3 linked regions of the Danio rerio genome follow. The protein of the gene in region 2 interacts with the protein of the main gene of each other region in a pairwise test. Links are inferred from orthologs where the notes say so. Each region holds a gene or a part of one and is shown on either strand. Other genes may lie near its edges.

Evidence for each region.
Region 1: the proteins of pogzb (region 2) and banp interact in binary tests that used the Homo sapiens proteins (3 or more experiments, as listed by UniProt). The two-hybrid records come from large-scale screens. The link is inferred for Danio rerio from reciprocal best matches to the Homo sapiens genes POGZ and BANP.
Region 3: the proteins of pogzb (region 2) and qrich1 interact in binary tests that used the Homo sapiens proteins (3 or more experiments, as listed by UniProt). The two-hybrid records come from large-scale screens. The link is inferred for Danio rerio from reciprocal best matches to the Homo sapiens genes POGZ and QRICH1.

What each region holds. Positions count from the first base shown.
Region 1 is NC_133200.1:32,863,783-32,868,189, forward strand, and holds part of banp (protein BANP), read left to right. Parts: intron 1-243; coding exon 244-443; intron 444-2,467; coding exon 2,468-2,566; intron 2,567-2,976; coding exon 2,977-3,140; intron 3,141-4,407. UniProt on the Homo sapiens protein: Controls V(D)J recombination during T-cell development by repressing T-cell receptor (TCR) beta enhancer function. Binds to scaffold/matrix attachment region beta (S/MARbeta), an ATC-rich DNA sequence located upstream of the TCR beta enhancer.
Region 2 is NC_133191.1:42,522,314-42,527,508, forward strand, and holds the start of pogzb (uncharacterized protein LOC561483), read left to right. Parts: upstream 1-1,994; 5' UTR 1,995-2,055; exon of another isoform or gene 2,056-2,368; intron 2,369-2,544; 5' UTR 2,545-2,610; intron 2,611-2,751; 5' UTR 2,752-2,755; coding exon 2,756-2,861; intron 2,862-3,027; coding exon 3,028-3,144; intron 3,145-4,256; coding exon 4,257-4,429; intron 4,430-4,527; coding exon 4,528-4,627; intron 4,628-4,709; coding exon 4,710-4,955; intron 4,956-5,195. Other genes in the region: si:dkey-23o4.6 (retinol dehydrogenase 12), read right to left, coding at 749-839. UniProt on the Homo sapiens protein: Plays a role in mitotic cell cycle progression and is involved in kinetochore assembly and mitotic sister chromatid cohesion.
Region 3 is NC_133186.1:20,149,031-20,154,206, reverse strand, and holds the start of qrich1 (glutamine-rich protein 1), read left to right. Parts: upstream 1-1,814; 5' UTR 1,815-1,884; exon of another isoform or gene 1,885-2,523; intron 2,524-4,045; 5' UTR 4,046-4,073; coding exon 4,074-4,322; intron 4,323-4,415; coding exon 4,416-4,496; intron 4,497-5,176. UniProt on the Homo sapiens protein: Transcriptional regulator that acts as a mediator of the integrated stress response (ISR) through transcriptional control of protein homeostasis under conditions of ER stress.

The sequences.
Region 1 (4,407 bases), on a different chromosome or scaffold from region 2:
CCTTGCCTAAAACGTGTTAAATACTTTATATAAAAGGCTTTTTTTAATGATGGCAGCTTAAAGACGCCTCTTGTATGGAGAATGAAGTCACATGAATTGCTCAGGTGTAAGTTTTTCACACACTTCAACAGTGTGCAAAAATCTTGATGGTTATGTGGGTCTCATCTATCAATAAATGACATTTTCATCTGGTATTAAATATAATTAGATATTTTACCAATTTCTGTATTTCTGTTTCTCCAGTCGATGTTGATATCCATCAGTCAGGCGATCTGCCAGCGGCTGGACAGTATGGAAGCAAAGCTGCAGGTTCTTGAGGTGACCTGTCGAGGTTTAGTGGAGAAACTGGACACAGTGATGGGCAAGAACCAGTCAACGATTCAAGTACCCATGGTGTCCGGGTCCCCATTCGGAGCCACTCAGACTTGTGACAAAGTACGCTGGTAAGTGGACCATAGGTCATGTGATTTATACACCAGCACCATTCATTAAATGGTTGGTTCTGTTTATTTTTTTCTTTATTTCTGCCCGTTTTTACGGCGTACAACATATGTTATAAATGACAACAGGGTCCCCGCGGGGTCTTAAAAGTCTTAAATTAAAAAATCGATATGTATGGCTTTAAAAAGTCTTAAATTCGCTGTTCTAGGTATTAAATATTTTTGCACAGGTCTTATTTTTGCGATGTCCATGTAACGCTACATCTAATGCTTATTTAAATTCTTTTTGTTGTTGTTGCTAGGTTTTTGGGGTTTTGTAGTTCTTTATTTTACTAGTCCAATTGTAATTTGCTTTATTACAACCACAAAAAAAGTCAACTTGCGATAGCCAATCAGCTTTCTGATATTAAACTCAGTGCGCGCGGCGGATGTGACATCATCGCTGTGTTTGCGGAAGTTCGCTTTGAGTGCGTGCGACATGATTTTGGCTGGCAGAGTATGCCGTTATTTCACTGACAAATGTCGCAAGCGCAGTTTTATAAGTCAGGAGTGCTGTAATACGAGAGAGCGAATCTCTGCTCACGCGCAGGTTTCCTTTGTTCATGGACAAAACTGCTTGCGAGCTCTCAAAACACTGGCTGCTCACATGCAAATTATCTGCTCTCGCTCCGCCGGACTCCTTTCGTGCTTTTCCAGAGATGCTTCAGCATACTGTAGTATTAAGAATAGTGAACTGATAAAATGAAATACAGTGTAGTTTTACTACTGTAAAGTGTGGTGAATTTTAGAAAAATATACCTTATATTGTAAAAAAAAATAAATAAAGCACTGGGTAGTTTGTTTTTAATACACTTGTTGTGTTACCATAGCAACTATAGTATTACCACAACAGAGTAATTGAAGTACTTTACTGTACTTCACAAAACACTGTACAGCAGACACTAGTTCACTTTATTTTAGTGATAAAATAGGATTTATAGTGGGATTTATTTAAAGAGTGAATAGTACAGTAAGCTATAATACCTAATCAAGTTTTTACCTATTTTCTATCACAGTTACATTTCTGCTTGCCAGAATGACCAATAATTATTGGCTAGAAATTGCAACAGCCATGGGAAAGGAGGAAAGTTTTTGTAAAACTTTGGAAAAACTCCGAGGGATAAGTTTGTTAAAACAAAAAAGAGGCCCCCAAAAACATCTTCAATGATAATGATTATCTTTTTATTCGTCTGATTTTACTTTCTGTTCTTTTGGACCGCCCCCTGTCATTTAAAAAAACATATCTCAATGGTGAACGTGTCAAGTACAAAAGCCTTAATCCGTTTCGTGAGTTGTGCGATGCGGTGCCAGGTGAAAGTATAAATCTGCATTAAGATGTGTTTTTTCTGTAGTTCAATGGTGCATTTAACCTGACCTTACTACTGTTCAATTTAAATAACTTTATTTTAGCCCTAATTTTGTGCTTTTACATTTTCTCTCGCGTGTTCTGATATTGTGATATAGGTGTTAAATTTAATACTTAATGGTCTTAAAAAGGTCTTAAAAGGTCTTAAATTTGACATTATGATATCTGCAGAGACCCTGATCATAATACAAGTCCCAGTTTGTTTTCATTGCATATTAAGCATTTGTTCATTTTTGTATTATTATTAGTATTAGTATTAAAACAGGCTTTTTTTAAAAAAGGTTGCAACACTTTTAAAATGTTTTTGCCCATTCATTCATTAATTCATTCATTTTCTTTTTGGCTTAGTCCCTTTATTATTCAGGGGTCGCCACAGTGGAATGAACCACCAACTTATCCAGAATATGTTTTACACAGCAGTTGCCCTTCCAGCCGCAACATATCACTGGGAAACACTCATATACTCTCGCATTCACACACATACACTACGGCCAATTTAGCTTATTTGATTCACCTATACCGCATGTCTTTGGACTATGGAGAAACCCACGAGAACATGCAAACTCCACAAAGACATGCCAACTATTTATTTTGACACTAACAGTGAGTTTTTTTTTCCTAGTGTTGTTCCCCAGACAAATGTCATAGTAAGTGGAGACAGGGCGAAGACGGAGGAGACTTCGCCACGCACATCAGACTCTTTAGAAAATCTGCTCAGCAAGTGAGTACTACACATTCATATTTTGGCAACTCTTTACAACAAGGTTCCATTGGTTCATTTTAGTTAATGTTTTTACGAGAATGAACAAAAAAAATAAACAAAATTTTTTATTAGGAAATGTATTATTGTTTGCAAATGTTGGTTAATAAAAAGTAGTGTAAAATAATACACATTCTTCACATAAAATTGTCAGTGTAAGGGTGCTAAAGTTTGTTTTACAGTTGGCGGTTCACTTCAGTTATTTGGTACGAATGCATTCAAATCAGAAGTGAACCATACCAGAGTTTGCACGAACCGTACCAACGACAACCTCTAAACGTACCGTACTCTGAAGTCAAACGAATTCGAGTGAGGACCAAAAGTGCTAATCTGAAAGCGCTGTAAGTCTTCTTTGTATTTTTGTGTTGCAGTACTGTAGGGCGAGGGAGACAGAAAACCATAGTACTGAAGGTTCCAGTTCAGGAGGAGATTCAGGATGATCAGGAAAGTGGTTCGGAAACGAGCGATTCGGTGTCCAACAGCGGCCAGCCTCAGAATAACAACAATGTAACGCTCATCACTCTTAACTCAGAGGGTAAGATTTACAAATATTGGATGTTTAAGACTTAAAATGACCTTTGTGATAACTAAGTGCATTTGAGCTAGAACAATTCCTATTGAAATGTTGGTTCCGCTTTATATCGTATGGCCTTAATTACTTTGTACTTACATTTCAGTTAATCATTTTGGGTCAGTGTAATTATTATCTACATGGATGTTTTTACAGTGTAGTTATATTTTAAAAATGATGATCATTTCTGTAAATATATTTATACTTATACTGTTGATCATCTCTTACACCTAAGCCCACCCTTAAACCCACTAAGACCACCAAACCTTTCCATAACCTTTCTCATATCCCTCCTCAATAACACCATGGGCTCTATTTTAATGATCTAGGCGCAAAGTCTAAAGGTCATGGTGCAAAAACATCAAGGGCATGTCTAAGTCCACTTTTGCTATTTTAAGGATGGAAAAATATGCTTTGTGCCCCTGGTCTAACAGGGTTGTGCTTAGTCTCTCTATTTTTAGTGACAAAAATTAGTAATTGTGTGGTGGTAATTCATAGAAATTTGCGGACAATTTTGCGATAAATATATATATATATATATATAAATAAATATACATACTATACCAAATACACACCATATTAGGTAGCCTACTATGTTGGGTGCGCAATCTGACACAATGACACAAATCATAAAAATAAAGCTTCTTTCAGTCAAGATCTAAAACAGACCTAAAACAGTGGAAATTAAGCCAAAGGAAGGTTTTATAACTCTTATTTTTATTCACAATCTTAATTTCTCTTAGATTTCACTCCCTGGAGCTTCTGAGATCAGCTTCCTCACTCACGATTTCCCCTACCGTAATACACCTAAAATACAATAAATATAATAATAAAATATAATGTCTTGCCAAATTTCCTTTGAGGGAATCAACTCAAGTTCATTTTTTAATTGTTTCGACTTTGTACTGAAGTTAGATTTTGTGAGGAGATAAAAGAGTAAATCACACCTATAATACCTTTGAGAACTGGGTTGGTTTTTAAAATGGTGTCAAGTAATGTTTCTCTAGGTAAAGTTGGAAAGTCTACTGTATTAGAAATCATAAAACTGCGGATCGGTAAATATCTAAAGAAATGTGTTTTGAGGATATTGTATTTTGTTCTTATTTGGTCGAAGGACATGAAATTGGTATCGCTACATAAATCGTTCAGTGTGATGAGTCCTTTTTCTATCCAGCAATTAAATGTAGCATCTGCAATCAAAGGAGTAAACATGATTTCTCATAATAGGGGT
Region 2 (5,195 bases):
TTATGCTGACCAAGGGTGCATAATAATAGAAAATAACAAAACACATTATAACATAAAAACTTATAATTGTGAAATAATGGTAAAAATTCAAATAACATTTTATCAAATTTTTAATTGCAATGGAAAATCTTTACTGTCACTTGTCTTTTAGAAATCATAATAACCTGAATAACAAAAATAAATAGATTATATCAAATTAATAATAAATAGATTGATAATAAACTGTTATTTAGTTTCTGTATAGTTTCAGCAGGCCTTATGAAGGCAAATTTTAAATTGAAAGTTTACCCAACTTGTTCACCTCTATGTGTGTGTGTGTGTGTGTGTATGTGTGTGTGTGTGCATGTGTGTGTGTGTGTGTGTGTGTGTGTGCGTGCGTGTGCGTATAAAAACATGGTTTTACAGCTATACTTGCATTAAAAATGTGTTACAAACTTACAGAAAAACATGATTAACTCCAATTTACTAAAATAAAGTATTATTAAATAATAATTATAATATTTATATTTGTATAAATGTAAAACTATAGTTGGTTTGCATAAAATGAACACTGATTTAAATATAAAATAATGAAATATTCATTAATTGTTGTAGTGCATGCATTTAATGCCATTAAAGATTTAATTAATTAATTAACATTTCAGGGCCTTAAATTGTGATGCAGTAGAAGTTTTGGGACCAGACCCATTTTTTATATTAAAATAAGATTATAATAAAACTTCTGAAAGTACTAAAAAACGTTACTCACTGATCACCAGCAGCGCGAGGACAGCGCCATAGTTCACTCCGTCAGATGATGTGCCCGGATCCTTCATCTCGCATGCAGAAGTAAACAACATGAAGAAAACACGCTCACGTTGTGTCCTCTCTGTGCACAATGCTATATATAGGGCTTGACTTAAGCAACTTAAACAGAAGCTTACCTGCTCTGCGCTTCGACTGGTTATGAAACGTTTATTATGAAACGTTTATCTCGGCACAATTAAGAAATGATTAGTTGTCAGATTGTAGCTTAAATTTAGTAGGATATTCAGGGCATATTCTACTTATATAAATGGTAAAACTTCTATTGTGCTGTGGATATTTTGAATTAAAGAATGCAGCTTTAATTTACATTCGATGTCTTTATGATAACTTTCAGACTTTCTGATTCATAATGTACAATTAACTAAAGCAATCGGTTTAAACCAGTCGTTACTTCGACTATATATATATATATATATATATATATATATATATATATATATATATATATATATATATATATATATATATATATATATATATATATATAGTCGAACAAACGATTGTGTGTGTATGGACTGAACTTTTGAATGTTTTTGATTCACTAAAAGAACCGAGTCATAAGAGTCGTTTGATTTTGAATCGGACCAGTGGTCCTGCCTGATTCGTGCTGTGTTCTCGGTTGTTCTGAAAAGTGCGGTGAACTCTGCAGTGTGCTGTTCTGTCCACATTGGCGGATGAACCCGCGTTCAGAGCCATAATGAAACCGGATGTCGTGATCGGTTCCAGAATTTTTTTAAACTGAACGTTTTCTAAAAAATTACACTTATTTCATTTATCAGTGCATTGTGCATACCAGGGCTAAAATATGAATATTTAAGCAAATAATTTTATATAATAGATATTTTGTGTGAGCAATTTTTCAAAATCATAAATTGATTTAAGAAAAGACAGTTTGTGATGGTTTTGACAGGTCCTCCTCAAAATACTAACAGTGTGTTGAATAATTAAATCATTTCTTTATTAAACCAGCAGTTGGCTAGACCGTATAAAATGTTGTCGTTTGTCGAGAAGGACGCCATTTTCTTGTTCCAGTAACCACTCCTCCTTATTTCAGAGATTACAGCCAATCAGCGTTGCGAATTCAAAACAGGAAGTGGCGTTTTGAGCGTATCAACCAATCGCAGCAGGAGAAAAAACAGAACCTCTGCCCATTTAGCGCATTTATTCGTCTCGTCTGTGACGTACCGGCAGGCTTTGTGTTCTTTCAATATATCACGTTGAATATATTTCTATATAGACTATAATCTGGTAAGTATTTTTTTTACAAATACGCGCTTTAATTCACGCGTTAGATGGCCGTCTTTCGTTATGTGCGCGGAGGACAGTATGCGGAGTGCGCACTCAGTAGGCGACGCGCGAGGGGTTGCTGCATTATTTGTGACTGAGTTTTTGTGATAGACACAGCGCTGAGTCCTGTTCCGACCCAGTTTGTATTTCAGCCCTATTTTCTGTTATTGTACACACATCCAAGGCTCATGCTTTTGCTTCTATCAGTCAGATCATCTGGTCTCAGCCAGTGCATATCGGTGACCAGGAACTACTTTTCTCTTCGCCCCTGTCGGTTAGATGAAATCACACTTTTTTGGGAGATTTTTAGGAAGTGATGCGGCAGCGCTCTGAATATCCGATGTTAACCCCATTAATGCAGGATTTTTTTTTGTTTGTTTTAAATGTATATAAATACAAAATGTACTACTATTCATGTTTTATTCATATACTTATTTGTATAATTTACAGGATGAAGGGATTTTGTAAACGCCAGTCTTGACGTTAAAACTGGTCGGACCCGATTCCTGTCAGAAGGTGAGGGTCTTCAGTTCAAAAATATTTTTCACTTGTCTAATTTAAAATGAAACATGTTTTTGATTTATGAATACATAATGCACCAATTGTCATTTGTACCCTCACAGTTTGTAGATTTTAAACACGTTTACTTTCTTTCAGAAACATGGATTCGGATTTGTTTATGGAGTGTGAGGAGGAGGAGCTGGAGCCATGGCAACAGCAGTCTATGGATGAACCAGCCGGAAATGCTGAAAGCAGTACTCCCTCCGGTGTGTATTTTTGTAATATTTTTAATTATAGAGAAATTTAACATAGTTTTTAATTATCTTCTTAACTTTTGTTAATTATAGATATTCCAGAAATATATATATTTTACTTTAATAATAATTTTAACATCATTATAACATCTGAAACTTGTCGTCCTCCAATGTTAAGTCACTTCCACTCCAGCCCCGGTGGTTGATGTTCCAGCTCCGCCTAAGACCATGGTGATCCCAAGCCTAACGTCTGTAGTAAATGCGGCGAACACGGTTCCGCTGATCACAAATACAAGTGAGTCTCCTTTTCTTTAATAATTATTTACTCATTCACATGATGCTCCAGAACACAAATTAAGTTAGGAAGAATCACCTGTTTGTTTAATTTAAGAGAAGCAAACTGGGGATAGAGTTCAGACACTTCAAAATAACAACAAAAAAGACTTGTTTTAAAGAAATGCAAATGACAAAAAAACACAATTCTTTTAATTATGAGTTAAATGAAGAATAAAATTGTTTTTTATGATTTGTGTGCTATATACTCACCTGCCACTTTATTAGGTACACCTTACTAGTACCGAGTTGGACTCCCTTTTGCCCTCAGAACTGCCTTAATCCTTCATGGCATAGATTCATCAAGGTACTGGAAATATTCCTCAGAGATTTTGGTCCATATTGACATGATAACATCACACAGTTGCTGCAGATTTGTCGGCTGCACATTCATGATGCGAATCTCCTGTTCCACCACATCCCAAAGGTGCTCTATTGGATTGAAATCTGGTGACTGTGGAGGCCATTTAAGTACAATGAACTCATTGTTCAAGGATTCAGTTTGAGATGATTCGCGCTTTATGACGTGGCACATTATCCTGCTGGAAGTAGCCACCAGAAGATGGTTGTGTGTGAAAATCCTGGTAGATCAGCAGTTTCTAAAATACTCAGACCAGCCCGTCTGGCACAAACAACCATGACACGTTCAAAGTCACTAAATTCACCTTTTTATTCCCCATTCTGATGCTCGGTTTGAAGTGTAGCAGATCGTCTTGACCATGTCTACATGCCTAAATGCAATGAGTTTCTGCCATGTGATTGGCTGATTAGAAATTTGTGTTATCGAGCAGTTGGACAGATGTACGTAATAAAGTGGCCAGCGAGTGTTTATTGCAATTGTTTTAAAATCATTAAAATCATCAAAATTCGAACTTTTGCAAACCGTTTTCTAATGTTTTCTCATATTTTCTCAAAATTTGTAGCGAATAGAAACTTTTCAGTACATTGTTGTTGTGTAAATATCCTTAGAAGGGGAGCGCAAAAGTCATATCAACTACTAAAGTAGTAGATGGATGCAGTCTTGTTGACATTCAGCCTGCATTACTCTTGGTGATCAGTCATTTATTTTTTCAGTAACTCAACGTGCGGTTGTGCCGACTGAGATCCCTAAAGCAGTGCAAGGGCAGCCGGTCATCTTGGCACCAGGAGGAGGTGGACTGGGCACTGTGGCTCTGTCACAGGTTCTCCTGCCTGGAACATCTATTGCCAATGTTACCAACAGTCAGCCGATCTACTTTACCACACAGGTGCTGCCATTTCACCATATAGATTCCAGCACATCACTCAACAAAAGCACATTGTCTCAACAAGTGTTCATCTATGTGCGTCCTTTCATCTGATACAGGGTCTTCCTGTCCAGAATATCCAGCCTGGCCAGGGTCCAATGAGTTTAGTGCTGAATGTCCAACAAGGCCAAACTGTTCGACCGATTACTCTACTCCAGGGTATGTCAGTGTGCTCTTGTTATGGTCTTACGCTATAGTTCTGTGCATTAATTAACAGTGTTTTCTTTATGTCTTTTTTAAGCACCTGGCACACAAATTTTCAAACCAGCCATCGGAGCAACCCAAATAATTACCCAGCCTGCTCAAATAAGGGCTGGAGCTCCGGTTGTAAACAGAGCCCAAACGCCTAGTACTTTCAGCACAGTGCAGATCCCTGCTACTCTCACTTTTCGAACCACAAACGCGGTCACCCCAACAGCTGCCAGTTCTCTACCCATCGTATCTTCTACAACCATTACTCAGCCTACCAGGACCACTACTAAAATAGGTAAGAATAAGAATTTAATTGAACTTTTTAAAGTTAGATTTTTAATGCCTGATTCAAACTATATTGTTTTCTATCTATGTAATAATTCCTGTTATTAATTAGTTATTTATTTTTATTTTCATTCAGAAGACAGAACTAGTGACTGGCTTCAAAAAACAAGAGCCAGAGAAGGCTAATAAAACAACATGTTAACTATTTTAACTAGTCAGTTTAACTAGTTTATTATTCTTGTCAGAAAAA
Region 3 (5,176 bases), on a different chromosome or scaffold from region 2:
AGTCAGGCAGGCTTTTGCAGGGCGATCAGGGGGAGGCCCTCACTGGCACATGCCTAGCGCTTTAAGGCGGACTGGAGCGGATAGAGCCCCGCTTAAAGGCACAAGCACGCTAAAATCACATACACTTTATACGTGTAAATGTCTCTTTATTGCGTTCAGTATGACAGTGTGAGATTTATAATGCTCAGAGTGATTTAGAAAGGAATTTGCTGTCTGTCTTTTATTTGAATAGTCTAATTGTGATTAATAATATAGCAAAGTATTTTACAGAGAACTATCCAGCAGGTGGTGCAGAGAGTAAGCAATGAAAAACAAACATGCATATGTTACTTATAATTTACCCCTGAGGGAAAACAACAAAGTTTTAGATTGGATTTGGGCACAGTGATGTATTGGCTACACTGGCAATATGTGAATAGACAGACTGGTTGAAGTGTTTTATGTTAGAGTGAAGCCGTTTAACATAAAGTGTCACACTCATCGAGCGCGCGCACCCGTGCCAAGCTGCTCACGAGCTCCGCCGGTGTTGCCATTTCAGCAGATTTTAAGCAATGTGGATGTTTTCAGGGGCTTATTGTTATTGTCAGTCGCTGCTTGTTCATACTTTTTTATTTACATAAATCTCATATATGTAGATCCCAACCGCTCGCCCTTCTTTTGTAAAAAACTATTTTTTTTTACACAGACCCCCAACACTCTTTTGCGGGTCCCTGAAATCTATGTATGTCTTTATAATGGAATTTAGCTATCTGACACACACTATTTGTGTGTGTTTGCGTGTGTCTGTGGGATATTTTGGTTTAAAGACATTTGGTAATGTATATGGCTATTTATTGTTCATTTATCTTTATTATGGTACGTTTTACATTGTTTATGTTCTTATATTTGAAATATTTATTGGTGTTGTTGTTATTATTATTATTATTATTATTGTTATTATTATTATTATTATTATTATGCTATTAATATAATTATCATTATTAACATCATATTGTTAAAAAAGCTAATGAATTCAATCTAACACTTATTAATTTAGAATTTCAGTAAATACTTGTATTAAGTGTTGCATTTTCATTTACATGGAATGTTTTTGCTTCATTTTCATTGTCGGCATGTGTTGATTATTATTATGCTCTTATTAATAAAAATATTATTATTGAATTAGTTATCTACCAACACAGACAACAACAAAATTAATACCATAATAACAATAAACCAAGATACCAACCAACACAGTACTTGATAAACTAACTTAATTAGCTTCTCGCTTTTACACAGTGATCATTATATATATGGTTGTTTTTATTTTATTATTTGATGTATTTTTAAAAGCTATAAAAATATTAATCACACTTTATATAATGAACAAATAAATATATTTGTATTTATTTATTGGAATAGTTTATAATTCCAATACATAATGTTATTAAATACTGCATTTCCAGCTTGTGTAACAATGGTTTTATTATAATAATTAGATTACTATGCTTTTATCATCCATGATAATAGATTCATCAATTTCTCGGTTGAGTATTGAATAGCATGTTTTGATGTACCCTGTAAATTTCTTATTCCTCTCCTACATTTTTTATTTTACCTCTTAAAAATAAAATGCATTCCAAATTATATGTTGGTGTGTTCTTGTTGTGATCTGGCAACCGCGCTCTGCGTTCATGCCATTGTGAGTGTGCTTGCGGCAGCAGTGGAGCCGGAAGGGGGAGCTGCGATTCCGTCCCCGCCTTCACGCTACAGGACAGCCCGGGGTCTAGCGCTGTCACAGCAGGCCTACTTCCGTCAGCTCTATCGCAAACATTATTATTAAAAAAAACACAATTACGGCCATCCAAGCCTTCCAAGCAGCGCATTTGTGTGTTTTCCACTACGGTAGGACATGTTTGCGCCCGGCCGCATCGGGCTTTCAATGCTTTCATTTATGTGTGTAGCAGAATAAGCACACGTCACGACATAAATCGCTCTTAAATGTTGACAAATGCATTGCGCTGCAAAAATACCGAGATAGAGCAAAGCAACCGGACTTGCCGTGTGCACGGCCAGCTTTAGCTGAGCTTTAGTGGGTTTTTGTTTTTTGAACGGCGTGTTTTGGCGGAAATTGCTTTGGCTTTTATTTAAGGTAGCATGGGAAGATTAGCACGCGAGCTCACGTTAGCCCCACATCTGCGCGCGCGATGCCACATCTACCGCGGGAATAATGCTTAATGCCACACAACAGCATATCAAAAATGTATTTAATATCCCAATGCGATTACTTGCGCCCGCTTCTGTGCGTTTTGGAGTTTCACTTGACAAAGGTTAGCGCGTTAGCATTAATGCTAGCTTATTTTCGGGGCAAAGCATTGAGTGGTCCAGTAACGTTGCTTGATTTACCGTAAGCAAAGCGAGTTTACAAACACACAAATACCGTTTATGTTATGTGATCGTTCATATTAAGGTTTGGTTTGTGATTCGAGAGGAGCCTCAATACAGCTCTTTTATTTTGCTTCAAGGGGTCCAAAGTCCAGCAAGGTTAGAGGCTCTTTCAGTCTGAATGCTTCATATACAGAGCTCTTCATCACTAAAATATCACATGAAACACCTTTAATCTTTAGTTTAAGCAATTATCTGTACATTTTAAAAGAATGCTTGCATAATTCACATGTTTGTAGGATTGGCTATTCAAAATTCAACCAGATCTGCATTGTGTGCAGAGATTCTATTGAATGATTGATGTAACAATGTGAAGCGAGCTGCTATGGGCGATTGGGTTTACAGTCTTCAGAGTTAACTGTATGCTATAGGTTTTTCCTAATATTTCAAGCCTGAAACATGGAATATTTTATATTTACCTAATGTATTTTTATTTGCAAATAAATACAATTATTTTCATTTTTAATGTTATTAGTTAGCTTTAAAATAAAACACAAATGAACATTGCAAATCTATGCATGTGAAATCAGAGCTGTTTTATATGTAAACGGATACATGCATGCATCAATGTATTGCAAATTATGCATATAAGCATATTTGTATATTACAATAAAACAAGTTTATTTTGTGCAGTCTCCAAGGGTTTATGTTTCAAGAACGTAAAAAAACGAAAACCGATTTCCTTTGTTTTTAACATATTTTGCCTGGAGAATACAGCGTCATTATAACTCTGCCTATTTACATTTACAAAAATGACTAATGACTAGGGATGTAACAATTCATACCATTCACAATACTAATCTCATGATTTACGATATAGTCACAATTTAAAAAAAAATTAAACAAATTGAAGGTGAAGTGCCCTTTCGTTTTTTTCTTAAATGCTGCACATTTTTTGTAAAATAATAAATTTTCTGCCATAACTAAATTGCTAAAAACAAATGAAAAAAATAAAGAATAATACAAACTAAAGAAGTAAAAAAAAAACATCTTCTCATTTTCGCTATAAAACACTGATGCACAGTGATCGCCATAGCATTCAAAGCTGCAAAGCATAATTTTTTCATATAGACATCTGTGACAGTCGTTCTATTAGTACACGTCTTTTTGCAATATTTGCTCACACTTTGTGTTTCGTCCCACCGATTGCTCGGCGCTGATGTGCAGGTAAAGTAAGTTTGCACCTGTAAAGAGCGCCCCCACTGTTCAAAAAATGTAACCATTCATTCAACATGTCTACCGATTTGAATCGTCACATATTTGAATTGATTTTCAACCGACTCACGGTGAATCGTTACATCCCTACTACAAACACTGTAATGCAGGCCAGGCTAGTAATTGGCAATGTCACCTCGTATAGAAACACTACAGCCCTGCACACAGCCATTAGTTAAATTTGTCATCTTTGTTTTGGTTAGACAAGTACTAACAAATCCAAAGACTGAACACATAACATGCATGTGTGTTTTATAATAGTTTGTTCATTTTTAGAGTTTACACAAAGACAATAATGGTATCTTTGGTAACTCCCAAATGCTGCTGTTGTGTAAATAAATGACCAGAATGCACAATATAAACATGTCTTGTAAATGTAAACGTATACCCTTTGCTTGTGTTCTAGGCTCCTGTACAGGGTGGACTGACCTGTCATGAATGAGCCCATTGAAGGCGGTGCGATCTCGTTCGACGAGTATGTGCGGCAGAAGGCGCGCACTATACCTCAGCACCGCATGAAAGAGTTCCTGGAGTCGCTGGCCTCCAAAGGCCCAGAGGTGTTGCAGGAGTTCAGCCAGCAGACCAGCGGCACCACAACCACAATGGTGTACCAACAGGGTGCCAACTGCATCTACACGGACAGCACAGAGGTGGCGGGCTCATTGCTGGAGCTGGCATGTCCGGTAGGGACACTTCTATGGGCATTTTAGCTCTGAGATAAGATGTGAAAAGCATTAGATTGTTAAAAGTATTATTTCTGCTTTATCTTTGTGCAGGTTCAGGTGACATCGACACAGATCTCACCCCAGCTGGCTGCAGCTGTGCATCAGGCATCTGAACAGCAGATCCAAGTACAGGTTTGATAGCTTTTCCAGTATTTACCAGGGAAGCTGTTTTTGTTGGAATACCTAAAATTCAATCATCAAAAAAATGCTTTCTCAAAGAACGTTTTGATAGTTATTAGGGCTTTTACACCTTTGTTAAGCCTCAGGTAACTCTAGGCTATCGTTAACAGATGATTCAAACTGTACACTCCTAAATCCTGGGTTAATGTTCTAACTTGCATATTTGCAGTGTCACTCTTTCTGATTGGATAAACTGCATGAACGGCAACCTTTTTTCCACAATATCTTATCAGTTATATAAAAAAAGTTGCTATATAGGTCCATACCCATTTTAAAGTCCCAAGAAACCCCTTTGTTTCAGCAGGGTGTTTTCACACCTCTACTTTGGAAAAGTCAGGATAGTGGGCGTGTCCAGCTCTGTTTAGGGGGGAGTGTCGGAGAAGCAAAAGAGGGATGGGTCTGTAAAAAGATTTGCATAAAAATGGGAGTGTCGATTTGGGCACGCACTGATTTTCATCATAACACACACACATACACACAGGGGAGAAAGACTGACTGTGTTTACATGGACATCAGTAATCAAATTATTTGCCAAATTATTAAATGGTGGTCTTTAACTGCAGTTTGGCTCTTTCATTCAGGGAATTCATTCATGCCCCTCGTGACAAACAAGATATTTGGTTCGAGGAACT